Schizosaccharomyces pombe: one gene and its partners. Changing the gene in region 2 together with the main gene of any one other region gives a genetic interaction. Each region holds a gene or a part of one and is shown on either strand. Other genes may lie near its edges. The genes, in order: hel2, mca1, sap18 and set5.

Region 1 (6,375 bases), on a different chromosome or scaffold from region 2:
GAAGAGTACGAAACAGACATTAAGCAAATTCTCGGTACAGTTGATCGCCAAACTGTATCTGCGAAGCAAGTTCGTCAACTTTTAGAAGAAAGAAGAAAGGTAGATTTGAGTGCGCATAAAAAAGACTTGAATGCGCTGATTTTGAAATGCTTTGATGAAACCGCCGCACCTTCAGAGAAGGAGAGTTTAGGTAAGATGAGAATATTGCTGGAAGAAATTTGCAAATAATAATGCAAGAAATAATAATTAACCAAACTTGTAGAAAAACAAGCACCCGCTCGCAAAACCAAGGGTAAGAGAGCGACGGAAAATGGCACTGAAGAAGGCAAGAAACCAGCAAAGAGAACCCGAAAACGCAAGGAAGATGGAGAAGAGGGTGGAAAACGCAAGAGGAACCAAGATCCTGCCAACAATCCTCTGAATAAGCCTATGAAGTTGTCCCCTAAGTTGGCCGAATTTTTGGGTCTTGAACAGGTAAGGCGGTGTTGTAGTGTGGAAGCCGTGCCTACTCGTTCCATTCAAAATCTTGTTGTTTTGAAAAAAGAGGCAGGCTTACATACTAAATGTTTATTTGCACGCTTTCTCTGCTGATTGCTAACTAACGTAGTTATCTCGTCCCCAAACTGTGAAGAAGTTATGGGAGTATATAAAAGCACATGACTTACAAGATCCCAACGACAAGCGAACAATTCTTTGTGATGACAAATTGAAAAGCGTTTTCGAAGTCGACACTTTGCATATGTTTACCATGAACAAGGTAAGTTAATCATGGATGGGTTCACAATTGTTTTAAGGAGGTTTGTCAACAAACTTTTACTTTGTCGATTGTAACTTTCCTTGTCTACTTTTTTCATTTGGTTACTTGTGGAAAACATTCCGCATTGCTCTTTGTTACCTGCTGCCGAAGCTAAGCTAACTTAATTAATAGTACTTAACAAATCTCATGACGAAGATTCCTGATGATCAATTGCCCAAACCTCAGCCTAAAAATGAAGAACCAGCGGCTCCGAACGATCTTCCCAAGCAGGAGGAAAAAGAGTTGGTCGAGCCTCCTACCGCCGAATCCACCGCTTGAGCCTTTGTGTTTGCTGCATGACCATATAAAACAGCCAAAACTTTTTTTCATATAATATCTTGCAATAATCCCTTTTTTTTTTGTCTCCAAAAATCATTCAAGTTTTTTGCTTTCATTGCATGCAATAAATGTTTATTTCGTTCAATACTCGCTTGCTTACCTGTTTTTCCTCAACAGATTTTGCCTATGTCCATGTCATATCCGTGCTTTAATACTAGAGGCTATGTATGTCTAGAGAGTCTCCACGCATAATCAGATATCGTATTTTGCATTACAACTTTCTGATCTTAAATGCAGTGTGAAAACAAAAGTTCAGGTTGCTGACTTTAGACCTTGGGTTGCTACAAGAGGTAATTTACGTTAGACTGACTGTGATTTTACGAATATTTCTTATCACCTATTCCTTATGGATATCTTTGTGCTTTTTTTTATAAATTCATATAGCATATTGATTTTCTTTTCTAAATGAACTGTTGTGCATGATGGAGATTTTCATGTATTGTATTAACACTTTCTTCACCGCACCTTTAATTATTTTACCGCTGCTTTGCTCTATAATATCATTGAAATAAAAAATGATTCACTTCAGCCCATTGTCGGGGAATTTTGTTTACGAAACCACCGTCGCTTGGAGCTGTCGAAGCCATATCATCAATAATAAATTTTATTTACTACCCTTGCGTATTACAAACCCATAATATGATGTTTGCTTTACAGTTTTGGATGATCTAAGATATGGCTTGGTTGTATGACTAGTACTCGTCTTGTGTCTATAGTGTATATATTAAATTATACGCAAATGGATGTTTTCTGGATATATGCTTTTAAGTCTCAAATAATGTACTGTCTTTTTAATTTGTTTATTATTTTATTTTGGGATTTTCTTTGGGGTTGCAAACCTGTCATCCGTTTGTTAGAGTATGTTTACATAAACATTTTTGTGTGCTTGTGGGTCGTTTTTTTTTTGGAAGATTGCTGCTTATAACCGTCAAAAGACTTATAAATTGATTAGACTGAGTGGAAAGTGTTCTTCTCTTTTATATTAGTCCTTAATGAATATACTTATTATTGATTGAATCATTTCATGGTGTTTACGACTTCTAAAGATCCAATCACACTTTAGATGAAGCCACATTTAACAGTTGTAACAATTGCATTTATTTGTAGACAGGACAACGCTTGCTTACATACATACACGACTTCTTGTTTAAGCACAAAGTAAAAAGATTATGGCGAAAAAGTTAGGGGAATATTTTTTTCAAAACAAATTAGTAAATTATATAAGCCCTTTATAAGAGATTGCTATTTACTTCCGCTGTACATTCAATGCTATATACGTTTCTAACAAAATATTCGATGCACGTTTCAAAAATCAATTCAGAAGCTTAAAAACTTTCCAATAATGTTGAAATTATAAATATATTCTTAGTTTGCGATATTCCAGCTAATTCAGAGGTCTCCAGCTAAACTGTTTTTTTTAGCATACAGCAGCTCGCTTTACGAAATTTTATTTACCCAGCGCCATACACGCAATCTTCTATAAACAATCAAAATGTCGCCTTCGGGCCCCAATTTAAATAATAAGGAGCACAACAGAGCATCGGAAAAAAAGAATTCTAGGACTCATAATAAAAAAACTAATAGGAATCGTACGTAACTTCCTTGTTGACATATTCCTTTTAACACATTTCAAGAAAGTAAAGAGAAACCGGTAAGCTCTAGGTCGGTAGAAACTCCAAAAAATGCAGTTTGCTTAGAGCCGGTTGGCACAGATCCTGTCAGTAATGTCGCTACTGTTGATGCTTCCAAAGAAGAACAGGATGAGGATGAGCAAATTTGCTTCATTTGTGCTGAAGGTATTACTTACAGCTGCGTCCTTCCTTGCAATCATCGTATGTCTTGTATCATGTTTTAAAAATGTTACAACTATGTTTAATCTAACTTAATTAGGAATGTGTCATGTTTGTGCTTTGAGATTGCGAGCGCTATACAAAACGAAGGAATGTACGTTTTGTAAAACCGAATGGGATACGGTTCTCATTACTAAAGATCATGAAATCGATATTCATGATGTCGATTTAGCAAAACTTCCTTTCCAAGATGAGAAACTTGGAATTGTGTATTCTGACGAGCATGCTCAAGAAGAATCCAACCTCTTGCTTCAATTCAACTGTCCAGAAGACGCTTGCGATATCACATGCAAAGGCTGGTTTGATTTAAAGCTGCATGCGAAGGTCAAACACCATAAGTTTTTCTGTGATCTTTGTGTTAAGAACAAAAAGGTTTTTACCCATGAACACACGCTATTTTCCAAGAAAGGATTGACAAAGCACAATGAAGTTGGAGATCAGGGATCCGATTTAGAGATTACTGGATTCAAGGGTCACCCGAAGTGTGAGTTTTGTAATACCCATTTTTATGATGATGATGAGTTGTTTAAGCATTGCCGTGAAAAACATGAACGATGTTACATCTGTGACCAAGTTGCAGGAAGGCCGACGCATCAGTACTTTAAAAATTATGATTCGTTAGAGCGCCACTTTGAAAAAGATCATTATATTTGTCGTGAAAGGGAGTGTTTGGAACGTAAATTTGTTGTTTTTGGAACTGAAATAGATTTGAAAGCGCATCAGTTGGATGAGCATCCCCACAACTTTACTCAACGCGAACTTCGAGAAGCACGAAGAATTATTCCTCAATTTAGTTACGACCCACCCGGCGCGTCCGGCAGGAACCGTCGTGAACGAACTTCTTCCACACCATCCGAACAATCTACTTCAGTGAATGAGACTGCCAACTCACTCTCTAACCTACACCTTTCCCGTGGAGAGATTGCTCACTTACGACAAGAAGAATATGTTCGCGAGCAACAAGCTCGCCATCGTGATTTTGGTTTCACGTTATCAAATCCGGCGCCTACATCTGCCCGCCCAGCGACATCTACTAGAACCATCAGCAGAGGAAAAACTAGAACGTTAAGAAACGAAGATTTCCCCTCTTTAGCCGAGGTTGCTAATCAAAATAGCTCTTCCGCACCCTCAGTACCTGTCTCCGCGCCTCGTCTGTCTGGTAAGTCTGCTTCAAGAAATCATGTTCCATCTCCACCCAAGGGCACTAAATCCCCGATGGCCTCTTCCGAGCAAGCACAACACCAACAAGTAATTGATCGGATGCAAAAATTGACGAATTACGATGATCACAAAATTAATGACTTTAAATTTGCTGTTTCTTCCTTCCGTGGTAATGTTATGCCCGCTCGTGAAGCTGTTGCTCGCATTACAAAATTAGTTGCAAAGCCTCATGAGCAATTGTCGGGCGTGTTCAACCAAATAGCAAATCTTCTAGAAAATAAAGAGAAGTCAAGGGAATTGTTGGAAGCTTGGCAGGAATGGAAAATACTGAATGCGAAAGATGATACTCGTATAGGTACTACTAACTCTAATCTTTTGCGCTTGAAGAGATCAAATAGGACTGCTGCTCAAACAGCTAGTGTTTGGAATCGTATTGAGCGTGCAGCAGCTCACGATGGGCCTTCTTTGTCTGCTCCATCATCTTCTATAAACCTAGCAAATATTACCTCAAGGCCAACGAACAGCTCAGCTGCAAATACTCCTTCTTGGGGTGTGCGCAAAGCACGTGCATCTGCGTTAAATGCAAGATCTGAAGAAGATTTTCCCGCACTTCCTCCTTCTACCTCGAAGAGAATTTCTGTTCAACTCGGAAAAAAGCAGGCTCGTCCCGTTGATTCATGGGGGTCTACACCAAATACTTCTTCCAATCGTAATAGTAATACGATGGGTGTTTCAAAGAAAAAAAACGGAAAAAAGCAAACTGTTTTGTTTCACATTGGTTGATTTTGGTTTATTGTATATAATAATTTTATTGATGGATGGGCATTTCGTTAATATATAATAATTTTGGGATGTACTCATTTATAATCTAGCACTTTATACCTTTTACCTGACTGTTGGGTTGTTTATCTGACCTCATAAAAGAAAGTGTCGTTTTGGAAAAATTAGCATTACATTGAGGGTCCTCCGCTAATGCTCCTGCGAAAAATGATTTTAATTTTGGATGTTTTTTCAGAAATAAAATGAAAATTAGCTTGATATAATATCAACCGGCAGCGAGTAATAGATTTAAAATAAATTTGATTAATTAAAAAAATTTGTTGTTTTAAGCAAGCCATTTTGCTAAAATCAAAGGTAATGGAAGAGTATTTCCGAAAAATCTCAACACATGTGAATGATCAGAAAATTATCGCCATAAAAGACAGAATAAGTCATCAGCGGTTGTTTCATTTCCTATATTTTTTTTTTATTTTTTTATTTTTTAATAAGGGAAAATTTAACGTCTAAGGATACAGAAGATTGTTAGCACATTAAAGTAATAAAGGCTTAAGTAGTAAGTGCCTTAGCATGTTATTGTATTTCAAAGGACATAATCTAAAATAATAACAATATCATTTCTCACAAGTTATTCAATTTTCTTTTTTTTTTCTAATAATATCAAGAATGTATTATTTGTTTGACATAAGTCAACTAATTTATTTAATATGCTGGATTAATCTTGCAGACATGTAAATTAACAAGTTTTAGTCAAATAACGTTGAAGTTTCAATGAACTCAAATAATTTCTCTTTTTTTTTATATAACCATATGTCTAATCTGATTTATATTTTCCGCAGGGATCAACTGAAGTTATGACATTTGGATTGGATCACTTATAACCTTGGTCGCCAAATAATACAAAAATCAGCGTTATAAAACAAAGAAGGTTTTTGTTAAGAAATTAATCCTCTTTCTTGATAAGAAAGTTGAACCGAAATTGCAGATACTGATATATGAAAATAATACCCACAATTTTGGGAATAGCGCAAGCCTCAATTTAAACAATAGGTGAGGACACATGATAATGACCTCAATGATTGTTAGAAGAAAAGAGCCTCATTACAAAATCGAAAAATGAATGGTTGGGTACAAGTTTCCAAAACATGGTAAAGTGGACTTTGCGTATGAGACGTAAATAGAAAAAAACACTTGTTATATGTTTTCTAGAATTATTGTTGTCTCTTTATGGTTGGATGATGCAAAATAGTAATTTCGGTTAGTTGCTGTAAAACACCACGAGACAAATAGATATGGATATTTATTAAATCAGGAAAAACGTAACTCTCGGCTACTGGATGGTTCAGTCACCCAACGATTACTGGGGAGAGAAAACAGGGCAAAAGCAAAGCTTAAAGGAATCCGATTGTCATTCGGCAATGTGCAGCGAAACTAAAAACCGGATAATGGACC
Region 2 (9,434 bases):
ACAATAGCAATATTTTTCCCGTTGTGAAACATACCGCTGGGGTTCATGGCCATTCCTCAGAAGTTTGACGTCTGCCTTAATTTATGCAATTCAATATAGTACAAAGCCACTTTATCAAGAAATCATCTTCGGAAGAAAGCAGGCGTCCGGGATTTATTGACTATGTGTTATCCATTGTCTCTCCACCTCTTAAATTTTAAGGTACTTTACCTGTTAAAAGGCGCCTAAGAGAGATTCATCCCGCACATACATGTGCTGGTAGAAAGATGAGTATAATTTATGATATGGCTAACTTTAGGTGAGGTTTGCTTTGAATTTATGGAATAATAAATGTAAAAAAGGAACTTTGATTTATCTACTGGATTGAAACTTGTCCTATTCATTTATTCATTTTATAAGAAAGGCAAGACTTGTTTCGTTAATTAACAATTGTCAATTATTAAAATAAGGCTTTTAATATTAAAATTAATTAAATAAAGCAACAAATGAACTCTTCAAACAACACTCATCATACTTAACTATTTAATTATCCGTGAACACTGGTAACAACCAATTGGGTAGAACCGAACGCCAATAGTAAGAGTAGCTGTTTCATAAATCTGATATTTTTTAATAAACTCATTAATAATCCAATTCACCTGTCAAAATTCTATTCCCTCCAAGTCGAGGCCTAGAATGATATATTTTGGCGGAAGGAGATAAATCCGTTAAAAAAATCAAATTATGAGTTATATCACGTTAACCAAAGATGAATGCTTTCGGAGCTACAAAATGTATTTTGCTTTTAAAGTATAACATGTTGGAACTAATTTAGTTGTCCTTTTGTACCAAAAAAATAAAATTATTATAAAACTTCCAAAAAAAACATAATAATAATAATATTTGGGATAAAAAATACGGGGTTTTTAAATTCTAATCTTTAATAACTAATACGACAAACTCATTTGTACTGTATCTAGAAGAAAATTTCCTTTTGAGCACTTTTCTCCTTTAAGTCTTCTTACGATGTACATTATTTGAAGTGACGTAATGTTTCGTTATATCGGGATAGTTATACTTGCATACTATTATAATCTGGAATTGTGGTAATTCCAGTGTTTAAGAACGCTTACTATGTGATCAAGCAAGTAGCATTTAGTTAGATTTCTTGAATACAACCACTACTGGTTGATTATAGAACTGTTAATATAGCTACAAGTATTGCAGAATGCATTTTGTGATTCTATAAATAGTATAACAATAATAATAGATATTCTTGTTTCTTATCGATTATCCCATATCTGATAGTTGTGATGTACTTTATTTTTTGTTAAATAGTTTTTCACCCTGACGACATATATTATGAATCTCAAAGTACCAGTTTCAGCGGCGTTTTCGGAGCAACACAGGGTCGTAGTTATGTCTGTTGTCTTGTTACATACCAAACATTATTATGTATTATTGACTTGATCACCTAAAGAGTTCATCCTTTGTCATTTAGACGTTGAATTGAGTGTTGAAACGTAAAAGTAATAACTTTTTTTTTCTTATTTAACATTATAATTTTTTACAATATCGGTCGATACGCTTTCCGGACATCAAACCACCCCCTTTAATTCTGGCCTCCTATAGCCTCTTTAGCAAAGAATAGATTGAACGGTTTAGCAACATGTCAAAGTTGCAGAACAAGACGAATCCATTTGCAAAATATTAATTACCAACCTCATTACGATATTATGCTATAAATAATATGCTTAACTTACTCACCATTATATCGTTATAAGATATGTCCTGTTGGAAAAACTAGCTAGAGAAACCCACGGGCACGTGGGCCTTTTAGTAGCAGGTAAATCAATGTCAGTATTACTTTGTATATTGTAGAAATGAACCGATTTCATGCTAGCCGTTTTGCCATCGTAGTATAAGAAAGGATGCTAAATGAACATGGACTTTGTAGCTGAGCGCAATACATCTAAATTCATTAGGAAAATAATTAATGAAAGGTTTCATGAAATCATCTCTGGTTGTTTCAAATTTGGACAAAAACGGGATTTCGCTTTTCCCAATGGGTACGGAAAGCGAATTCGTTTACAAATGTTTTAATATGAAACTTGAGATGTCATATTTACATAATTTCGAAAACCAAAAGTTATAAATGTAGCACTGAATTGCTGTAATAAAAAACAATATAAACTATTACTTTTAAATACCACTTTATCTGTTAAGAAATATTAAAAAAATACAACTTCGCCTTTATACACTCCTCGTCCCAAGTTGAAATTGTCGGTCCGATATTTTCACTCATTCATTGCAATATCAGAAGACTTTTGAACCTTAAAAGTTAAGAAACTCATCATTTTAATTTCTATTACTTTTTTACGACATTTTTGGATTCTTCCCTTTCTCGAAGACATTATCTAAGTAATCAATAAATTCTCAATACGATTTAACTATGTTCCGCAACTACAATTGGTTTGACGCAAAAGAGCCCATTTCATATGAGTCCGAAATTTACGCTAAAGGTCTCAAGTTTCAAAGACCCCAAATCACCGTAGATGGCAGACACTGGGAGCAACTGGCTGTTGAGCGAATGACCAAGGATGCCGCCGGCTACGTTTACGGATGTGCAGGAAAAAGAGAGACATATGATAAAAATATGGAATCCTTTAAGAAATGGTCCATCATTCCTAACCGTCTCATCAAGTCTGGTTTCCCCGACTTGTCTACCACTGTCTTTGGCCAAAAATATCCTTTTCCTATTGCCTTGGCTCCTGTAGGAGTACAAAAAATTTTCAATCCAGAGGGTGAAAGTGGATCGTGTGCCGCTGCAACTAGAGAGCATATACCCTATATTATCAGTACTGCGTCTGCAACCAGCTTTGAAGATATAGAAAAGGCTAGTGGTCCTGGAGAGAGATGGTATCAACTTTATTGGCCAAGCAATGACCATCAAGACATTACCATTAGTTTGCTCAACCGCGCCAAGAAAACGGGCTGCAGAGTTTTGATAGTTACTCTTGACACATTTATTCTTGGATGGCGTCCCTCAGACATGGACAATGGTTACGATCCATTCTTAAATCCTGACAGCATCGGTGTTGAACACGGATTTTCCGACCCCGTTTTCCGTAAGCAGTTTAAGGAGAAGCATGGTGTGGAAGTCGAAGAAAATATGTTAGAGGCAGCTAAAGAGTTTGCTGGAATTGTCTTTCCTGGAATCAGCCATGATTGGGAAGACTTGAAGTTCCTTCGTAAACATTGGGATGGCCCAATTGTTCTCAAAGGTATCATGAATGTTCCTGATGCTAAGAAGGCAGTTGAATATGGCATGCAGGGCATCGTTGTATCAAATCATGGCGGTAGACAACAAGATGGAGGTGTTGCTTCCTTGACGATGCTACCAAAGATCGTAGATGCTGTTGGTGATAAATTAGATGTTCTATTTGACTCTGGTGTTCGTTCAGGTGCTGACATTGCCAAGGCCCTTGCATTAGGAGCTAAGATGGTTTTAATCGGTCGTCCCTATGTTTACGGGTTAGCCCTTGAAGGTTCATCCGGTGTTAGTCATGTCATTCGTTGTCTCTTGGGAGATTTGGAATTAACGCTACATCTATCTGGTATTGTATCTGTGAAACCAAAGGACTTAAACCGTGATGTCTTATATAAGGAGGAATAAATTTATGCATTAGTTAATGATCAGCAAATTTAGTTTAATTCCCGTTATACCATTTAATATTTATTTACGCTATGAGTAATATAAAACTACCCATTAATAAGAATATGAGTAACTTATATTAATAAGCATAAAAAGCAATCAATAAGTGTTATGAGAAACTGACTCAAGTAACCAGTTCCATCAATATCATTAATTTCGAGTTCGTGAATAAAAGGAATTCCAGGGGTGTAGAAAAAGTAAAGCATTATAAGCTTTTTAAATTAGAGTGCTAGTATACAAAAGAATAAAGAAACAAAAACTAAAGAAACTATTGTACATCGTATAATTTACAATCGAATACTTCTTCCATTCATGTCTTCGAACACCGTTTCCTTAAAACCCGCCTTCCTTTCTGATCCAAACATTTCCTCCCACCAGCGACCGTCATCTAAAATCGAAGTGATCAGTGGGTCTACGGGGACTTCCTCATCCAGAATAGTATCAGTTCGTATTTCAGAAACACCCATAGCAGGTGTCGAATTCCCACTTTGAGTATCATCGCCATTATTCAAAAGCTCGTTTGTTCCTCTTGAAAACAACTCTTTTGAAAATGAATTCAGATCAGGATTAGACTTCATCGACTGATCTTCCACTATACCATATTCTAGAATACATAAAGGAAATCCTGGAATTTTGAAATTGTAAAGTGACTGTTCCTCTAAATACTGAAAGCGGTAGAAATTATACAATCTCTGAAGAGTTACCAACATTGCTTGATTAATTTTCCAATATTTGGATCGATCCTGTAAAATCTGATGATCAACGTGTACAAGTCGAGAGGAAGAAATGTAATTTTGGTCGATGTTGACAACACAAAACTTAAGAAGCATATGGATAGTAGCAGCAGTCAATATACTAAACCCCACAAATGGGCTCATTATGTAGTTTAAGGGGTCCTTTGAAAGTTTTGTAATGAAATCAGCAGAAGTAATGACTTGATCTAAAATCATATCCATCCATACAGTAGGAGGCTGTTGTCCGAAGCGTTGTGAAACAGAGGAAAAAAGTTTGGATTTCTGCCTCGACTTCTCAGGAAATAAATCTAAGACGTTTCTCAGAAGATAGGTCAAGGTAGTGTGATATAGCAAATGCATAAAAGTGTAACAGGCACCAGCCGATTCTCCGGGAGAACTATACGCCGAATAGTTAGTGTATGACCAAACTGCTCTTGGAGGTAAATTTTCATGCCAGGCTTTTAAAAGCTCAAAGCTACGATGGAATTGAGACTGATTTAGCCAAGGGGGTGTGATATCTTTCGTGTATCCACCACATAGAGCCCATCTTGAGATCTCACTCCACAAATTTGACAAGCGGATTAGGGAACCCGTCATAAACTCCAGTTGTAAACTTCTTTGGTATGGGGCCATTGAAGTGGTGTCTGACTGAGTGTTTTCCGGTAAAGATCCATCAAATAACTCAGTAAGAATTGGCTGATTAAATAAAAAATTAGGTTCCGGACAAGGTAATTGTATACTAGTCTTTTGAAGAGATAAAGAAAGTGAGCGCAATTTTGAAGGTGCCATGTAACCTGTACTTAGCAAACGTTCGACAAAAAAACAAGCCCAATAAACCCTTCTTTTCTGCTCGGCTTCAGTCCATGAAACAGTGTTGGATCCCATCGTAAGAGGATTATCATTTATTTCGTTACCAAGATCTAAAGAATCGACCATACGGAGAGCCATACCCAGTAAAAGCCAGGCTTTAGCGCCTCTACAAGAGCCCAACTCAATTAAGCAAAGCAAGAGCAGGCAAGTGATATTAGTCAGTGAAATATCCTGGAAACGACAAGGAAGCAGTGAAAAGGCTTGGTTTGCGTAGTAATCAGATGCTGCAGTTGAAGATTTAAATCTATTGACTTCCTCTTGACTGAAACGAGCAGCGTGAGCACATATACAAAGTACGAGGACTGGCGGAGCAGTATCACTTGCAATTTGAGACGTAATTTGGGCCTTATTAAATATCCCAAAAAGTTCGGTATATGAAGTTTTAAGAAATATGTCCCAAAGCTGTAATAACTTTCTACTGGTTGGTAGCCTTAACTGCTTCTGATAGTCACCAAAGCTATTAATAGAGTAAGTAAAATCCATGTTAGGAGATGATGGAGAGAGGATCGTAGGAGAAAAAGGATGAGAGCCCAGATACGGTTGCACTATACCAGTAAGAGGACTCAAGGTTCTGGCAGCGGAAGATGGCTTTTTGCCTCGCATATTCGGTCGATCAGGCCAAATGCATTCAACTTTGTTGTTACTGCAAGCTTGACATGATGGCTTTTCACCAGAACACTTTATTTTTTTCTGCCTACACCGAATGCATGCCTGAGATACTTGACTGATTACTCGCCTTTTTCGAGGCACAGCATCTTTTTCGACAGCAGCAATCATGTCGAAAATAAAATACTAAAATGAAGTAATAAAATATTCTGTGTCCTTTTAAACCGTTTAAAAACCTAGATAATCGAAGAAATCCTGCGTTGAGTAGACAGGTCTTAAAAAAGAAAAGAAAAGAAAAGCAGACGTGCCAATTGTCTGATCGTACGTCTGTTAGAAAAAGCTCACGAGCTTAAATCAGAAAAAATAAATAAGCAATAAACGTAAAGGCTACGAACAGTCCTTTCGAAAAGTTTGCAAGTAGAAAATTAAACATAAACAATAATAGACTTAAGTGAAAGAAAAAAGGGGCATCTAGGACTACACAAGTACGCTTTTTCAAAACACCAACATCACAGAAATATTTTGATTAAAAACACACTCGAAAAGCTATAAAATTCAACTGAAGTCGTGGTATCACCTGAAGGGTGAAGATCATAAGAAGGTTACAAAGACCACATGGGAGTAAAAAGCCCATCTAGGGTAACATAAATAAGCCCTCAGTTGTGTTCAAAACTACAGCAGCAAAAATAAATATACATGGCCAAACATCGTTTTTACAAAAAGTTAATAAATGAACCTATTAAATGTACTAGTGTACGATGGATGTAAGGAAATTAGGGCTGTATAAAGAGATAGGTTGCTATAAAAAATATTTCGTCAGTCTACCATTCACAACTGTACCTTCAACTTGAATATAATTCAATCTCATGAGTAAAATTATAAAATAATAAAAAAAAAACGAAGATTTAGTATTAAAAATCTCCATAAATGTGTTTGGAAAACGCTGGACACTGAAATTTTAACGATGAATACTGTAATTTAGTTTTCTATTGTGCTATTTGGTGCTCGTCATTAAGTCAATAACGAGACTATGCACCAATTTCTTGAATCTTCTACCAGCGTCTTCAAACGTGTCTATCTATTTATTCTAATAAATTTCTATAATAGACACTTTAACTTATTTTTACTTATTTATTAATGAGTATTCGAGAAGACAGGAATCAGGATGCAACTATATATCTTGGCAATCTTGATGAAAAAGTAACGGATTCTATTTTGTTTGAGTTATGCCTGCAGGCAGGTCCAGTTGGTATGTAATTATTCGAGTGTTGGTTGTATTTGTGGCTTTCGATACTAATTCATACAGTAAATATTCATATTCCAAGAGATAGAGTAAGGAATAGTCATAATGGCTTTGGTTTCTGCGAATTCTTACACGAACAAGATGTTGAGTATGCATGTCAAATTCTGAATCAAGTAAAGTTGTTTGGAAAGCCTATAAGGGTCAATAGAGCTAGCCAGGACAGAGGAGTCAATACCTTAATTGGTGCAAATTTATTTGTTGGCAACTTGGATCCTCTTGTTGATGAACGCGTATTGTACGATACATTTTCTGCTTTGGGACAACTTGTCAAGGCACCTCAGGTAGCAAGAGACGAGAATGGAAGGTCGAAAGGTTATGGTTTTGTTAGCTACGATTCTTTTGAAACCGCTGATGCAGCCATTGAGGCCATGAATAATCAGTTTTTAATGAATAAACCAATTACCGTGTCATACGCCTTTAAACGCGAAGGAAAGGGTGAACGTCACGGAGATATTGCGGAAAGAAAGCTAGCAGCAGCCGCTAAAAAGAATAAAGTTGCCGTTACTCCTCAGAGTACTCTGCCTCCAGGATTTTCACCCGCCACTCCTGCTCCAACATCTGCTGCTAATACTCCAGCAACAATTGCTGCTACATCGATACCTCCTGTACCGAATGTTCCTCTAGTGGGAGCAACTACTGCCGTCCCTCCCTTGTCAATACCTAATGTTCTTCCTTTCACTGCTGCACAGCATTTCCCTGGAATGCCTGCTATGCCAATGATGAATGTTCCAATGGGCCCTGGAGGTGCACCACTTGTCCCCCCTCCACCACCAGGAATGGTGATGGCTTCTCCTTCTCCTGCTGCTGCTACCATACCTGGTGCTCCTGTAATGCCAAACATACCATTTTATCAAACAATCAATGCACAAAATGGATACAGTCAACAACAAAGGAGGTAAAATATTTTAAAAAGAAGCAAAATAACTACCATTGTTGCTCAAACGCCGGCATAGTAAAATAGCTGAGATTGATCCGTATGGTTGATTTTTTTTTTAACGTGTACAGTAAAAAAAGTGGAAGCTGAGATTTATCTTATTTAAAAGAAATTAAAATTGATGTTTGTTTATATTTTACAGTTTGACTTTTTCTAGTAATGAGTTTTACTTCGTCCCTAAATATCGGCAATATAGTCTATAAACGACGCATTAATTCAATCCAACATATTTTCAGATACATTGAATTATGTATACAATCCAAACGAAAGTATAGTCTAAGCATTATATTAAATATAAGCTGCTAATCTCTTGACCAATATTAGTGAAGTATTATTTTTGACTCGTTATCCCGTAAAACTAAATAAATCAAGTACACGAAGACTTGTGTCAACAACCATATAGAAGTTTTTTGCATAAACATTGGTAACAGCTTCTTATTCGACCCTTTAGAAAACTATAAGAAAGCATTCAGCACAATGCATCTTCTTTATCAAATTGGTTTGTTTACCTGTTTGTGGCTCACCCAATATGTTGGTGCGGAAATTGATAATTACGATGAAAATCTAGTCGGAACTTGGTCTTCCAAGTCTGAAACTGTTTTGACTGGCCCCGTAAGCTAACTTTTGATTTTCAAAAAATTGTCTAACTAACCCTCTGCAGGATTTCTTTGACCCTTTGGATGAGGATTTCTTCGAACCTGAATTACCGGGTATTAGTTATAGCTTTACTGATGATGGCTTTTTTGAGGAAGCTATTTACATAATCAAATCAAATGGTATGTGATAATACTCTATAATATGTAAAATCTTCTCCAGTCAACACCTACAGTGTGGTTGATCCAAGGAATTAAAGCCGATGAAGACGTAACTATTGGGATATACGGACTACTTTCTCGTTCATGTTTAGCGAAATTCCCCAAGTAACCAACTTTCTTCCATTTGGAAGGATATGTTGGAGAGAAGATATTATTTTTCTTTAATATTTTTGCTAACCCAATTTAGCTACAAAGCCTCAATGTCCCAAAGGCTTTTTACAATGGCAGCATGGAACTTATGCTATCAATGATACCGGTACTTTAGTATTAACTCCGTTTGTTGGAGACGGACGACAATTAGAAAGCGATCCTTGTACTAGCAATTTTTCTGTTTACACCCGTTATGATCAAGTTGAAACTATGGAAAAATATGAAATTTCTATGGATAGATACCATGGTCGCTACAAATTAGAGCTCTATGAATGGGACGGAACACCAAAGCAGCCAATGTTTTTAGCTTACCGTCCACCTAAGATGC
Region 3 (6,826 bases), on a different chromosome or scaffold from region 2:
TATCGGTAAAATAATAAAGTACTACCTAATCGTTTTTTAATGCTCGCTATGCAGTTCAATATTTTTTTACCGATACGCAGGACTGCATAGTTAAAATTGTGTATTGCTACGCGTTGCTAGAATTCCTTCATGCTCTACAGAATTTAGCAGATTTGAGAAAGCATATCCTAGGACTAAGTGTTGTCGTAAACGTGGTCTTACGGTCGTTCAGGAATCACTGCGTTTAATGGTATCTTTCCCCAAATATGTCTAAGGCAAATATTTCTTCCAAATTAAAAAAAGTAGTTGAGTCCATCTATAATCCAAAATTGGCGGATTCTTGGGACAACACTGGGCTTCTGCTTGAGGCTCCTTTCCCAAGAACAAATGCAAGTTCCGTACTTTTGACGATTGACTTGACTGAGAAAGTTGCTGAAGAAGCTATTTCAAATAAACTTGTATCATCTATTGTAGCATATCGTATGGCGGTTAACCTTCTACTTTTATTGTTTACACAACTTACTCACAACTAGACCCCATTATCTTTCGTGGGCTTAAAGCCATCACGATGGAGGATCCCCAACAAAGAAGCCTTTTAAAACTTGCTGCTGAAGGAATTCACGTTTACTCGCCTCATACAGCCGTTGATGCTGCTGTTGATGGAGTAAATGACTGGCTGGCCCAAGGTATAGCTGGAGGACGAAACAACATTAAAAGCGTGGTCCCAACTCAGCAAAATTCTGTCATGGCTGAGGCAGAAGGTTACGGTCGAATTTGCGAACTGAAGATTCCTACAACCTTGCGTGAATTGGTCCAAAGGGCTAAGGAGTTAACCGGCTTGCAATATGGTGAGCTTCTTTTTATCTTTATTGTTAATATTGTTAACCTATTTGATTGTAGTCCAAGTGTGTGCACCTAACGGATTAGATTCTCATATTTCCAAGGTTTCTTTATGTGCAGGTTCTGGTGGATCTGTGGTTATGAATACGGATGCAGATCTTTACTTTACTGGTGAATTGTCTCATCATCAAGTTTTAGCTGCGATGGCCAAAGGAATCTCAGTTATATTATGTAAGGAAAAATCTGTTCAGTTCACCTCTTTGGTATTATATATTATTCAACTAACAACAATGTAGGCGGACATTCCAATACAGAAAGAGGTTATTTAAAGGATGTAATGTGTCAAAAACTGGCTTCATCCTTTCACAAAGAAGGAGTAGATGCAAATGTGATTGTATCTTCTATGGATGCTGATCCTTTGACTACCATGTAGATTTACTAAAATAAAAAGCTGTTACTTATTTAACATAAATTGAAGAAATGCTAAAATTAAATTGCATTAATTTTGACTTTTCACAAAACTCATAATTTGTAGATTCTTCTTACTCTTCTATATGAAGTACATTTTTTAGAGAACCAAACTGGTTGATCTTGAACCAGGTATATTAGGAAATTTTTGATTTATGTTTTACTAATATAATATCGGTCATAATGATGCCAAAGCTTCAAAAACTAAGCTTTGTTTAGCTAAATAAAAAAGTTTCAATTATTTACTCTCCCTCCGGGATTCGAACCCGGGCTGCAAGCGTGACAGGCTTGTGTACTACCCCTATACTAAAGGAGATTATTGAAAACTTATTTTTTTTAGTTATACATATTGTAATACTCATATTAAATTTAAATGAAATTAAATAATTGAAGGAATATACTTTGGATTTAGTTATGAAACGAAGATATCAGCTTAAAGTTGTTGTAAAAATAATAAGTGATTTTGGGCTGTTAGCTTGTAGCACCGATTCAGAAAATAACAATTCAGCTTCTTACAGCTGTTGCAAACGGAGTAACCTTGATTCATGTTCATTTACTCTAGCAATGATAACATCGGGCTGTAATAAAACTTTATAAATATTTAAGTCTGTTACTTGCCTGAATTATAATTTAACTGTTTACAATCCGTTTTCTGTTTGTATGGGTTGCGAATGGTTTTTTAATTGTATTTAGGCAAAAAAAAAATACGAGTTTTATATTTTGAAAATAGTTAAGTAGCCAAAGGTGAGTTGACAGCATTTTTAAAGGAATAGATATTTACATTATGAGGATCAATGGTGCATTTATCATGCGAATATCAACCATGTTAATAATAGAAGTTATAATTCTTTTTTGAAAAATAGTTTCAATCGGATTTCCGAATGTTAGCGCTATTAAACAATGGAAAACATTAACCGCTTAATCCATCGCTTCAAAAAAAATGATAAAAGATTCTGCTATTTAAAGTGTTGAATCCTTTCCAATGTGAATTATAATAAAAAAAACGCTTTCTTTTCCTACAGCATATATATAAATTTAGCAGAAGTGATTCCTGAATCCTTGATAGGCCTCGAGCTAAAGTATATCTCCATAACTCAATAAGGAAAATAGTAAGTACACTAACAATTTTTTCTTAATGCGTCAAAGGTTTTTTTAAGAGTATGGGAAAAAAAAATTTCTCAACTTAAAGAGCTTCGAATCTTTTCAAAGCTTCAAAGCTTATAAACATACAATATGAGATTAGTGAACAGGGTTGTAGCGGTTTATGATTTTGTATATAAATAGAATTAAGATAAGCTTTTAAATAAATCTTACAATAGAATTCTTCAGTCATGCACTTCGTTTTTTATATCGTTCTCAAACCCATTAAACTTCCAAAAAATATATATGTACCATCCGATCAAGGAATCACTTTTTTATTCTAATTTTATCCTCTTTTATGGTAACATCAATTTTGTCTCCGCATTTTATTCCCGTTCTTTTCAATAATTTGTTGCCTTGAAATAGCTTTGGATTGTGCAAACAAACAGTACCTAGATCCCTGGCTATCGGGCGATCTTTATACTTATCGTAAAAAATTGTTCTAATTTGCAATGACCATTCAGAATGTCTTGTTTCTTCGTTATTCAAAAGAAGTTGATCTGCAATGAGAACTCCCAGTTCATAAAGGGTCATGGTCAACCTAAGATTAATCGTTAGCATAAAAGTTTAAGATTTGAAACATATAAATCTAATTGACATATAAATTGTTCATGGATGATCCTTTGACGGATTTTCTAATCGTAGTCCCAATGAAGTATGAGTTCATATACAACAACTGAAATTTTCCCGTTAACACGATTTACTTACCATCCATAAACTTGAATAGAAGGAATCACGTCTTCAAAGATGTCTAAAACATGATTTTTTGTTTGGAACTGATGATATACTGAAATGAGAAAAGGGCACGGACCAACAGCATCTTCACTTTGGCTTAATTCAGGAGATTGAGAGCGACTTTCACGAATATCCATTTCTAAACCTCCCAAATGGATTTTTTAAAGGAAGAAATTGAACGTAAACGTCGCCAACTAGAAGGAACGAGCGAACTTCCGGTAAAAAAGGCGTTTCGACGAGGGGATTGGGAGAAGGAAAGGGAAAAGAAATATCTGCAGGAAAAACAACAAAAGGATGAGCAAAGAGAGTTGAAAAAAAGAAAGTTGGAAGAAGAACGTCTTAAATATGAAGAAAAGAAGTTACGCATTTCACGACTTGCGAACAAAGAGAGCAGTAGAAATGAAGAGTTGCTTACAGAAACAACAACTCCCTCACCAGCTGTCAAAGCGTCACCTGCAAGTACAAAATTATCTGTCTCCGAAAACGACCGTTTATCAATACCTGAAATCACAAAAGACAACCTCACGTTGACCGAAATTATTGCAAAGCTTCGTGAGATGAAAGAGCCAATTCGTTTGTTTGGAGAGTCAGAAGAGGCTACCATTCAACGATATTACAGTTTGCTAAAATACAAAAAACTGGAAGAAATTGAAAATGAACTCCTTACTAAAGGAGTTGAAACAATCGACTTTGAGCATGCTACTACCACCAAACCCAAAGTATCCAAGCAAGTAGTTGCTTTTCTTCAACATGGAATCCGCATTTGGGACAACTTTTTGTCTTCAAAATCCATCAACTCTTTCGAAAGTTCTGAGAGTCAGATGCAATTAAAAATATTTCGTCAAGCTAAGCAAGATCTTGATGTACTTATACAACTGATAGTCGATGAAGCTTTAAACGACGATATTTTTAAAAGCATAGCTGAAATTTGTTACAGATGCCAAAAACACGAATTTGTCAAAGCCAATGATATGTATTTACGTCTGACAATTGGAAATGCACCTTGGCCTATTGGAGTTACTATGGTTGGTATTCATGAAAGAAGTGCACATCAACGATTACAAGCAAATCCAAGTTCAAATATACTTAAAGACGAAAAGAAGAGAAAGGTAAGATTTTAGATAAAGTACCCAGTCTAACCTTTCACATGTTAGTGTTTGCAAGCTTTAAAGCGATTTATTACTTTTCAGGAAAGAGAGTCATCAAACTTACCTGAATATACGGATTGAAGTACGAAAAAGATGCTATTTGTTGTCGAAAAAGAATTTAATTATACAGTTCACACTAAACTTTTGAAAACGACTATGTCAAACATGGTTTACTAATGATAGAATATTCAAAAATTTCGCCTCTGAATTGGCATGAAAGAAACTACAATGAAACAGCTTCTGATATAACGAGAGGCGAAACATTTATAAAAGACAGAAAAATATTAAGTATGCCACCAGAACTCAGTCTTAAAAAAGCAGAATGTGCTGTGCAAATGAACTCATCTTTAATGAAACTCTACATCCATACTCATTATTAGGAAAAAATTTTTTGTTAAAAGATGACGAGAAAAAAAATTTACTAATATCCATGAGCGTTTGCTAATAGTCGAAAGCACCTATATTCCTAATATTTCAGTTTTAAACAATAAGTTTACTCCAAATCCAAATCATATTCTGGTTCAATTGACTTTTGTTTTCGCTGGCTTGAAGATGCTTGGGGAGTTGGCATAGGAGGAGCAGGGCCTCCCATACCAGCAAGTGCAGCCATTGGATTCATACCTCCAGCTAATCCAGGTTGCTTTTGCATTTCCTGCATCATTTCCTGGAACATATTTTCAGAGATACCACCGCCAGATAAAGCAGGTGAATGAAGAGGTAAAATCGTATTTCCTAAAACCCCCTTAGGATATGCAGGAGGATTTTCAGGAAGACGTGCGGGAACATTTTGAATAGGTAACGATAAAGGATCTGTCTTAACAGTTGGGCGAAGAAGTAGTACTTTGGCGATTTCGTTTATGACATACTTTTCTACATTCACAGTCAGTTAGCATACGAGAAAATAAAACTAATAACAATCTTACTTTGTATTTTTTCAGGTAATACCATTTCGACTCGACCTGGATTGACCCAATCTGCAGGATGTGTCTTCAATGGTTCCAATTTACATTTATATCCCAAATCGCGAACAACATCGGCAATATTTTTAGCTAACGGATTTAAAATTGCTTTGTCTTTTGGTACACAACGAAACCTACGTGGACGGCTCTTGTCAAAGTAAATGGGATATAATATGATAGATGGCATGTGGATGGTGAGTGAGGTAGTTGGCAGCAAATGCGATATCATACTTATGCTGCTCAACCGTATGTAGTAGATAAATACGATTTTACTTTCAACTTACTACTGAACATTTCAATTATTTTTAAAAAGAAGACGTTTTTCATGATTAACTTAGAATAAAACTAAGAACACTAAAAAAGTAAAATCGTATCATTCACTGGGAAGATCTTAAAAGAATACAAAATATATTAAAAAAACGATGAAAGAGAGTGTGCCTGATTGGCTTAAAGGTGAGATCGGTTGAATCCTACAAATGAAATCAGTAAAATAAATTGGAAGAAGAATTAGACTTGTAAAACACAAATCTGAGTGGATATCTTTTAAAGTAATACAAACGCTCTGTTGCTAATGATGCATGAGTGCTAAAAATTCCCTCTCGCAGCAATAAACCGATATGTAACGATGTATGTATTTTATGATAATTGACAAAGTCTCATCAACTATATTAATGGAAGAAGCCGTACACAAAAATCATGTAAACGCCAACAATTTTCTACTTAATTTTTTTTTTTGAAGATAATAAAACGGTAATTTTAAGGGATCGGTTTCAGGCATAATAGGGAAGCTGGATTTAAAAGAAAAGCGAAAAGGTAGTAAGAATATGGATGAATGAAAGGGGAGGAAAATACCTTCAAACAACAATGGTCCTTAATAAAATGATGTATATACACATGTATATTCCTTTTGCGGGCATGAAAAAAATCGCAATGGGACACATGATGAATAACCGAACTACGATTAAATAAGCAATTAGTTCACGGTTTCCGAATATATTGACCAAAAAAAGGAAATTTTCAAAGGAATTATTGACGCTTATTATTAGCCAAGTCTAAAAACCAGTGAGTTAATAAGGCTAAAATTTCAGTGTTTAACAAATCATGGCTTACCTCTACGACAAGCATCAGCTAATAAAATAGTATCAACATATGCACTTGACATATGGACGTAACGAACAACGCTACCACGAATAAACAAATCTTTAACAGCAGCCTAATAAATTATTAGTTATAACTCTGGAATAATAGCACGAGATAGTGTTAAGAGTAGGAACGAAAAAAAAAGGATAGATCGAAGAATTCAGAAAGTGAGGCGCACTTTATGATCAGTCTTAAATTGTTCAATTAATGAAAAACCTAGATTTTAAAAGTTGAGAATGTAGCATATACGTTGGGAAAGCTGATTGATTCATGTTCCTCTCATGTAAGATGTTGTACATAATCGATTTGGACAAGACTTTTTTCAAAAATCAATCAAAAACCTAAATAAAATGAATAAACCGAACCCTACCGATCGTAGAAATCATTTATTTCTCTTTCAATTCCCGATAACTTGCA
Region 4 (7,004 bases), on a different chromosome or scaffold from region 2:
CTACACTTGTTCGCTTGACTCAAAAAGTCGATTCGCCTCTTGAAATATCTTTAGAAAAAAAGAAAAGAAAACTCGCCGTCAACAGAGAGTTCACCCATGCATGAAGAAAATGTAAAGTTATGAATACGGAAAATATGCGTTTAGCGCTTACAAAAATTCGTTAACGTTAAGGCCTATGTGAGCAACATTATCACTAAACATAATATATATTAACATCTCTGATTTGGCTAGGAGGAAGTATGACATTTACAAGTGGGCCATTTTTTTATTGTGGTTTGTTATTTATATGAGGATTCAGATGTTTGCATTCATACTTAAGTAACGCAGTTCGAAAGCATTTTCTTTTTTTGTGAATATCAAAGCGTACTTCCTTAAAACTTTTTACTCATTATCTTACTAAGCCAAATTTTCCCCAAAGCTAGAGGAAAGCTATCATGCAAGTTAACTTGTTAATTAGCAAAAACTACAGTGACTAAGGGACTCGTCATGTACTAACTAGCAAGGTTATTTTTGTACTATATCGTGCAATAACGATGCCTTGATAGAAATATTTTATGAGCTCTACCGCTGGTACTTTACCTGGTTTAAAGAAGTATGGTTATTGGTTGATTACCGTATTCCGCAAAAAAATTTTAACGATCAATCATTTTTGCAGCAAATTGCGCCATCATTTGGTGATTGATGTATGCAGTCATATAAAGTGTAGGCAAGACCTCAAACGCTCATCAAGCGAAAAGAACAAGGAAGGAGGTCGGATAACGGGTTGTTGTAATACGTAAAGAGGATTTAAAGCGATATTCGGAAGTACAAAATTTATTTATTGTTTTCATTATCGTTGAAAATCTTTATTCAATTTACCGAGGTTTAACGACCACTGCACAATTGTCTTTCTCTACAAGTTAATCAATCAGTTTAATAGTGTTGCAATCAATTGCTCGATTGCTTCGTAGAAAGAATTAAAATTTGTAACTTAAGCTAAAGGCTAAATTGTTGGTTTATGAGATATTTCTTTCCTTTCTTTCCCGCATTTTTGCGTAGAACAACAAAGTCTGGTTTTTGCAGTACTTCAGCCAGCAGCTCTTCTTCTCCACCAAGACAATCCAAAACGAAGTGACTAAAATTGTGAAAAATTGAAGTGAAAATATATATATTGGAAAATAAGATTGACGCAATATTTGGAGATTAAAAAAAAATTTTGGGCAAAAACCTATTCTCTACCAAGTACACCTGAGTTAACCTATTAGAAACTACTACAATGATTGTTTCCTGGTCCTTGAAAGACGCCGTTGTTGTAGTCGTTGGTTCAGGAAAAAATGCTTACCGACGGGTGAATTTATGTTTAAGTGAAAATTCTTCTAAAATTTTTTGGTTTTGTCGCAGCTCCGCTGATGGTGGATTTGACGTTGGTCATCTTCAGCTTGACGCAAAAAAATCGGATGCTATTGAAATTCTTCCCATTTCTGAATTTGATCCCGTTCGTTCATTAACGACGCTGGGAAAGGAGGAGACAGATTTTTTGGTGGATGCTGTTTTCGTGTCAGAGTCCAACCACCATGAAAAGGAAATTTTACATCGTACGTGCAAAAGGTACCGAATCCCATTAAACATCATTGATAATCCTTCTTTGTGCTCCTTTACTCTACCAGCTACGTGGTCAGAACCACCTCTTCAAATTTCTTTAAGTACTTCATCAAATGGTTGTCGTTTAGCTCAAAGGCTGTTGAGACACGTGGTGAGTAGCCTTCCTTCCGGTATGCCAGAAGCCATTGAGCGTTTTGGCCGAGTGCGAGCGATCACTAAAACTCCAGAAAAAAAACAGTGGATCAATCATGTTAGTGATTTTTGGCCCCTCGAGAAGTTGGTTCGGATGACAGAGGACGATCTTCTTGCCATAGTTTCTGACAACTTCTCTCTTCCACTCTCATCAAGCCAATCTTCTTCACTTGCCAACTCCTATGAAAGTTTATCAACCACCTTGGACAAGCCTTCATTGACGCTTGACCCTGAGGCTTTTCCTACTCATAAGCGAGGTTCAATAGCTTTAATTGGAAGTGGACCTGGCTCTCCTGATTTACTTACTGTTGCTGCCAGAAAGGCTATAATGAAAGCCGATTATGTACTAGCCGACAAGCTGGTACCAGAAGCGGTATTACAGTTAATTCCAAGGCATACTCCACTATTTATTGCTAGAAAATTTCCTGGAAATGCGGATAAGGCACAAGATGAACTTCACCAGGTTGCTTTTGATGCTTTATCTAGAGGTGATTATGTTGTCCGTTTGAAGCAAGGTGATCCTTATATTTATGGGCGAGGCGGTGAAGAGTATCTATTCTTTACACAACACGGTTATGTACCAACGGTTATTCCTGGCATCAGTAGTGCTTTGATGGCCCCTATCTCTGCTGGTATTCCCGTTACACATCGTGGAGTGGCCGATCAATTTCTTGTGTGTACTGGAACTGGTCAAAAGGGTTCGATGCCTAAAATACCTTCTTTTGTCCCTACACAGACCACAGTTTTCCTAATGGCTTTACACCGACTAGAAATTCTTGTGCAAGCACTAATTGAAAGCGGTTGGCCTAGAGTGTTACCGGTTTGTATAGCTGAGCGCGTCTCTTGCCCTGATCAAAGGTTCATTTTCTCTACTTTGGAAGACGTTGTGGAAGAATACAACAAGTACGAGTCTCTCCCCCCTGGTTTGCTGATTACTGGATACAGTTGTAATACCCTTCGCAACACCGCGTAACTATCTATATGAATTATTTTCCCTTTATTATATGTAGTAGGTTCGTCTTTAATCTTCCTTTAGCAAGTCTTTTACTGTTTTCGACCTCAATGTTCATGTTCTTAGGTTGTTTTGGATAATATGCGGTCAGTTTAATCTTCGTTGTTTCTTCTTAAAATATTTATTCATGGTTTAATTTTTGGTTTGTACTTGTTCAGGGGCCAGTTCATTATTTACTCTGTTTGTATACAGCAGTTCTTTTATTTTTAGTATGATTTTAATTTAAAACAATTCTAATGGTCAGTGGAAAGATATTTTGGCTTGATATTTGTGTACTATACTCATCTGTATTACTAGCAACTGCTAAATAAAGATACACAATCATAACCTGTTATTTTAAATGTAAGGATAGATGAACAAATAGATAGAATCAACATATCAGTTTTGTATTAGAACATTTTGATACACGTTTCATGATTCATTTATCCAATATAGTTTTAGTAGAATGATATTCATTTTAGTAGATAATCTAAAAAAGCAAATATTAAACTGCATCAGCCGGGAGTCGAACCCGGAGCTAATGCTTGGAAGGCATTGATGTTACCGCTACACCACTGATGCATTTATTATTTAGAGGTTAAAGAATATGTTATATATTGTTACAAAAGCAGTGTCTTAAGAATGTGTATAATTCTGAAGAAATTTTTTGTTGTTTTGAATAATAAGGAATATTTGGTTTATTGATTTACTGGTTCTATTTGTGAATCGGCTTTTGCTCAAAATACCGAATCTATTTTTTGGATATTTTAAAAAAATCAGCAAACATGCACCAAATGCTTAAATCTCTTCAACAATAATGTTTACAACTCGATAGGAAGTGATTACTCAATACTGCAAACCCTTCTTATAAATTTCTTTTATAAATACCTTTTGTATGAATTAAATCAGTACTCACTTCTATGCTAAATACTGAATATTCTCCATATTAAAATATTCTCAATCATTTACAATTCATGCCAAACCCCAATAGGTTTCTAAATTTTTTATTTATAAAAAAGAAAGGAGATACAAAAACTCTAGGATCTCAGGAAGATAGTTTCAATTTCAGGTTTTTATCATCCATAAAAGTTTTATAATTTTTCAATAGAATAAATACAATCCCAAGCTCATCAAACTAAAAGTTAAGACGAGCATTAACAATACATGCCCAATTTTCCAATAAAAACAAAAACAGTAGTTTTTTACCCCATGCTTAATCAGTATCACTATAAACATCTTCTTCAAGCTTACATCCCCATAAATTATCTTCCAAATCCGATAGTTCATCATCCTCTTCTAAAAATAATGGTAGAGCAGGCACTCCTTCAGCAAGAGCATGACTTCGTGGGTTCTCTACATACTTGGAAATTTTCAAATATTTTTCAGAATCAGTTCCTTCATACAAACTAATTGCTTTAGTCCCCTTTTTTGCAAAAATACTGGCTCTCTCAAAATCACCGTGGATGACACATAATCGGAAGGCATCCAGAAGTGCAATTATATCTAACCGACCGAAAAGAAGCTCTTCGTGGGCAATGTGTATCCTATGTCTCAATGCTCTTAGAGCACCTCTTGGATTAACTATACACATTTTTGCCATGGTTCGGTCATAGTAGGCCAGTTGCTTTCTCCTTAAATCGCTGATTTTCCTAATCTTTCGTTCCTCTACAGAGCAAACACTACAATAACATTTAAATCCAAAATGCTCGAGCAATATTTTTTGTCTTTCCGTATGTGATTTATGTAAGTCTATATATGTCGTAAGTATTTCCTCGCCAGCCTCGATGTCGCGAACAGCATGAACCGTAACCTGATCAAGTCTAGGATTCCACGTATGTTTCACGTTAGGACTACAATCGTGATTCATTCGAGAACCAAGTAAAAACATTCCACCCTTTGTCTCATCAATGGTCAGCGCATTGGAATAAAATGGCCCAAGGAATGGTCCCATAGTGTCTGGATGAGCGTTGAAAAGTCTATGAAAAGCTTCCTGTTCTTCTTTTGTTTTTGTAGACAGTGCTTCCTCGATTTCCTTAGCGTCACTTTTTGTCCTTATCAAAGGCGTTTCTGCAAAAATTCTTGTACCGACGGGGATTTTTACTTTTGCAATCATACCCATTCCTTTGTTAGGAATGGGGACAACTTTATAAATCTCTGTTTCATACGGGTTCATGTAGTACGATTAAGCAATACATTAACGCATGGACGCTTAAAGTTTTCAAAGTTTGGAGATTTTGGTGGTTACGAAATACGCTGCAAAAAATAGAGAAAAAGAATCCAATATATATGGATAAAGCTGAAAATAGTTCTTTACTATTTACTCCAATATTTCTTTTTCTTTTATTGTACTTTTAACCCCAATTGGTTATATCACAATTTGTTTTTCCCAAGAGATCTGTCAATTTTCAAAAAAAAAAAAAAAAGAAAAGGAATATAATTCGAATTTCAAAATGTTCAGAGTGTTATGGCATTTTAAATATATTCCTAAATTTATTATTAATTATAGCAATTTGTTTATATTTTATTGTCAAGGATCTTGAATTAATCATAAACTTTGTCATCATATTTTTTTATAAAATCCTTCGTACAAGAAAAATGTAGATTGGCAATTGACGAAACAAAAGCTCCATTTCTTACCGTATCAAAGATATCAAAACACGTAATTAAAATGGTTTAAAAAATCCTTCAAACGATGGTTTAGCATTACCAAAAAATATAATCGCAAGTTTGTGATTAAGCTTAGATTGAAATCCTAGAATTTATTGGTATGTTGATACCTGAAACAGCTTCTGCATTACATTATTATTATTATTTTTTAGATTTAAAAAATAAATGTCAAACTATCATGAAAAAGTACCTAAAATGAAATAAAAGGATGCGCATTATTCGATATGCATGTGGAATTGGTATACTAAAACTTAGAGAATTACTGAACTCAAGAGCAAAATCTTGCTATGGCCAGTTCTTCATAACACAGTACTTTATATGTAGATATTGTTTGAAACGAAAATTGTAAATGTCACTTCGGTTAATGTAAGTTAAATCACTTAAAAGAAACTGTACCAGAGTTTTTGAGATTTAGGATTTGAAGGGTAAACTAGAAATAATTTGATTTATTATAATATTCGGCATTTCCGTACCTTGTCAATGTGTGAATTATGTGCATAGGTATTTCGTAGGGTGAACAAAATGAAACTTGACCAATGTGCCCCATTTCAGACCTTGACAAAATGAATGAAAGTTTTAAGATCAGAGATACTTTTTCACTATAAAATTCTTCATGTCAAGGATTATTATAATCTCACTCTTTCTTACTCGGCGTCGATGATTTTCGGTTCAATAAAAAAAAACAAATTGTTGATTAAAAAGGAATAATAAAAAAGAACGAATCTTATTCTAACTCGCCTACATTTGTTATTATTTACCTACTTTTTTTCTGATATTTACTACTACATGCCCTTTTCAATAATTTGGTAACTCAAGTCACATGTTACTTCGATAACTTTTATGAAATTGTCTTCGTTCATCTTCAACCATTAGTCCCTTACGACTTAGTTGATGAATTTTACTTGAAGTTTACGATACTATTTAATTAGTAAATTTTTCAATCAATAGGAAAAACAAGAAGTTTTCTTATGGAAATGATAATATAGTTACAACTTGACTGACGGCATACTCCTTTCTGTATAAAAAACATAGTTAAGGTCTATTGATAGAATTTTTAATGTGTTTATGATAATATTTTTATTTATTAAAGCGAAATCGAGTTATTAACTTCCTTTTTTGTTCTGATTCACTGTTCTTTTGCATCTAAAATTAAATTTCTTTAAACTCCTTTCGCCGGAAGAAATTCAATCCCTTCGAGAACTATTTGCTTTCAAATCAAAATTTATTTTTGAAAATTTATTAAGTTTCACTTGTTGCAGTATGAATTCCGTTCCTAATGAATTGACGAAAAGCCAAGAGTTGTTTGGACAGATCTCCAAGATATCCCATTCGAAGGTAAGTTAAATCATTTCTATAGAAGCATCTTGTTTTCCTCTCTAACAATGGTTGCAGATTTCCATTTCCGAACTTATCACTCTCCTTGACATTCATTATAGTGAGCTGTTTACGAAAAACCCTTGGATGAAAAAAGAAGTCCGAAAGTTGGCTTCGGAATTTGTGGAGAATGATCCCAATCACCTTTTATCGAAACAGGACGCTTGTCATCTTATTGAAGCATTCGTAAACGTTTCTA

The links.
Region 1: mutations in mca1 (region 2) and hel2 together harm fitness more than expected from each alone (negative genetic interaction), as found in Schizosaccharomyces pombe (one large-scale study listed by BioGRID).
Region 3: mutations in mca1 (region 2) and sap18 together harm fitness more than expected from each alone (negative genetic interaction), as found in Schizosaccharomyces pombe (one large-scale study listed by BioGRID).
Region 4: mutations in mca1 (region 2) and set5 together harm fitness more than expected from each alone (negative genetic interaction), as found in Schizosaccharomyces pombe (one large-scale study listed by BioGRID).

Annotation. Positions count from the first base shown.
Region 1 is NC_003421.2:1,831,986-1,838,360, forward strand, and holds hel2 (ubiquitin-protein ligase E3), read left to right. Parts: upstream 1-2,588; 5' UTR 2,589-2,627; coding exon 2,628-2,724; intron 2,725-2,769; coding exon 2,770-2,967; intron 2,968-3,025; coding exon 3,026-4,929; 3' UTR 4,930-5,479; downstream 5,480-6,375. Other genes in the region: RNA polymerase I upstream activation factor complex subunit Spp27, read left to right, coding at 1-190, 263-474, 608-757, 929-1,075. UniProt on the Schizosaccharomyces pombe protein: E3 ubiquitin-protein ligase that plays a key role in the ribosome quality control (RQC), a pathway that takes place when a ribosome has stalled during translation, leading to degradation of nascent peptide chains.
Region 2 is NC_003424.3:2,982,355-2,991,788, forward strand, and holds mca1 (transcription factor), read right to left. Parts: upstream 6,500-9,434; 5' UTR 6,076-6,499; coding exon 3,982-6,075; 3' UTR 3,656-3,981; coding exon of another isoform or gene 2,432-3,655; 3' UTR 2,379-2,431; downstream 1-2,378. Other genes in the region: SPOM_SPAPB1A11.03 (L-lactate dehydrogenase (cytochrome)), read left to right, coding at 2,432-3,655; U2 snRNP-associated RNA-binding protein Sap49, read left to right, coding at 7,042-7,153, 7,211-8,106; chaperone Rot1, read left to right, coding at 8,619-8,753, 8,803-8,917, 9,144-9,434.
Region 3 is NC_003421.2:2,137,876-2,144,701, forward strand, and holds sap18 (SAP128 family histone deacetylase complex subunit), read right to left. Parts: upstream 3,315-6,826; 5' UTR 3,300-3,314; coding exon 3,136-3,299; intron 2,969-3,135; coding exon 2,695-2,968; 3' UTR 2,008-2,694; downstream 1-2,007. Other genes in the region: SPOM_SPCC126.12 (NGG1 interacting factor 3 family protein), read left to right, coding at 246-459, 513-827, 880-1,050, 1,116-1,252; U5 snRNP-associated protein Prp18, read left to right, coding at 3,315-4,271, 4,317-4,391; putative signal recognition particle subunit Sec65, read right to left, coding at 4,804-5,180, 5,234-5,456; lsm2 (U6 snRNP-associated core protein), read right to left, coding at 6,296-6,321, 6,380-6,482.
Region 4 is NC_003421.2:2,033,694-2,040,697, reverse strand, and holds set5 (histone lysine methyltransferase Set5), read right to left. Parts: upstream 5,020-7,004; 5' UTR 4,938-5,019; coding exon 3,978-4,937; 3' UTR 3,705-3,977; downstream 1-3,704. Other genes in the region: met1 (uroporphyrin methyltransferase), read left to right, coding at 1,256-2,746; protein Dms1, read left to right, coding at 6,692-6,766, 6,824-7,004. UniProt on the Schizosaccharomyces pombe protein: Histone methyltransferase that monomethylates 'Lys-5', 'Lys-8' and 'Lys-12' of histone H4 (H4K5me1, H4K8me1 and H4K12me1, respectively), thereby controlling gene expression and remodeling chromatin structures.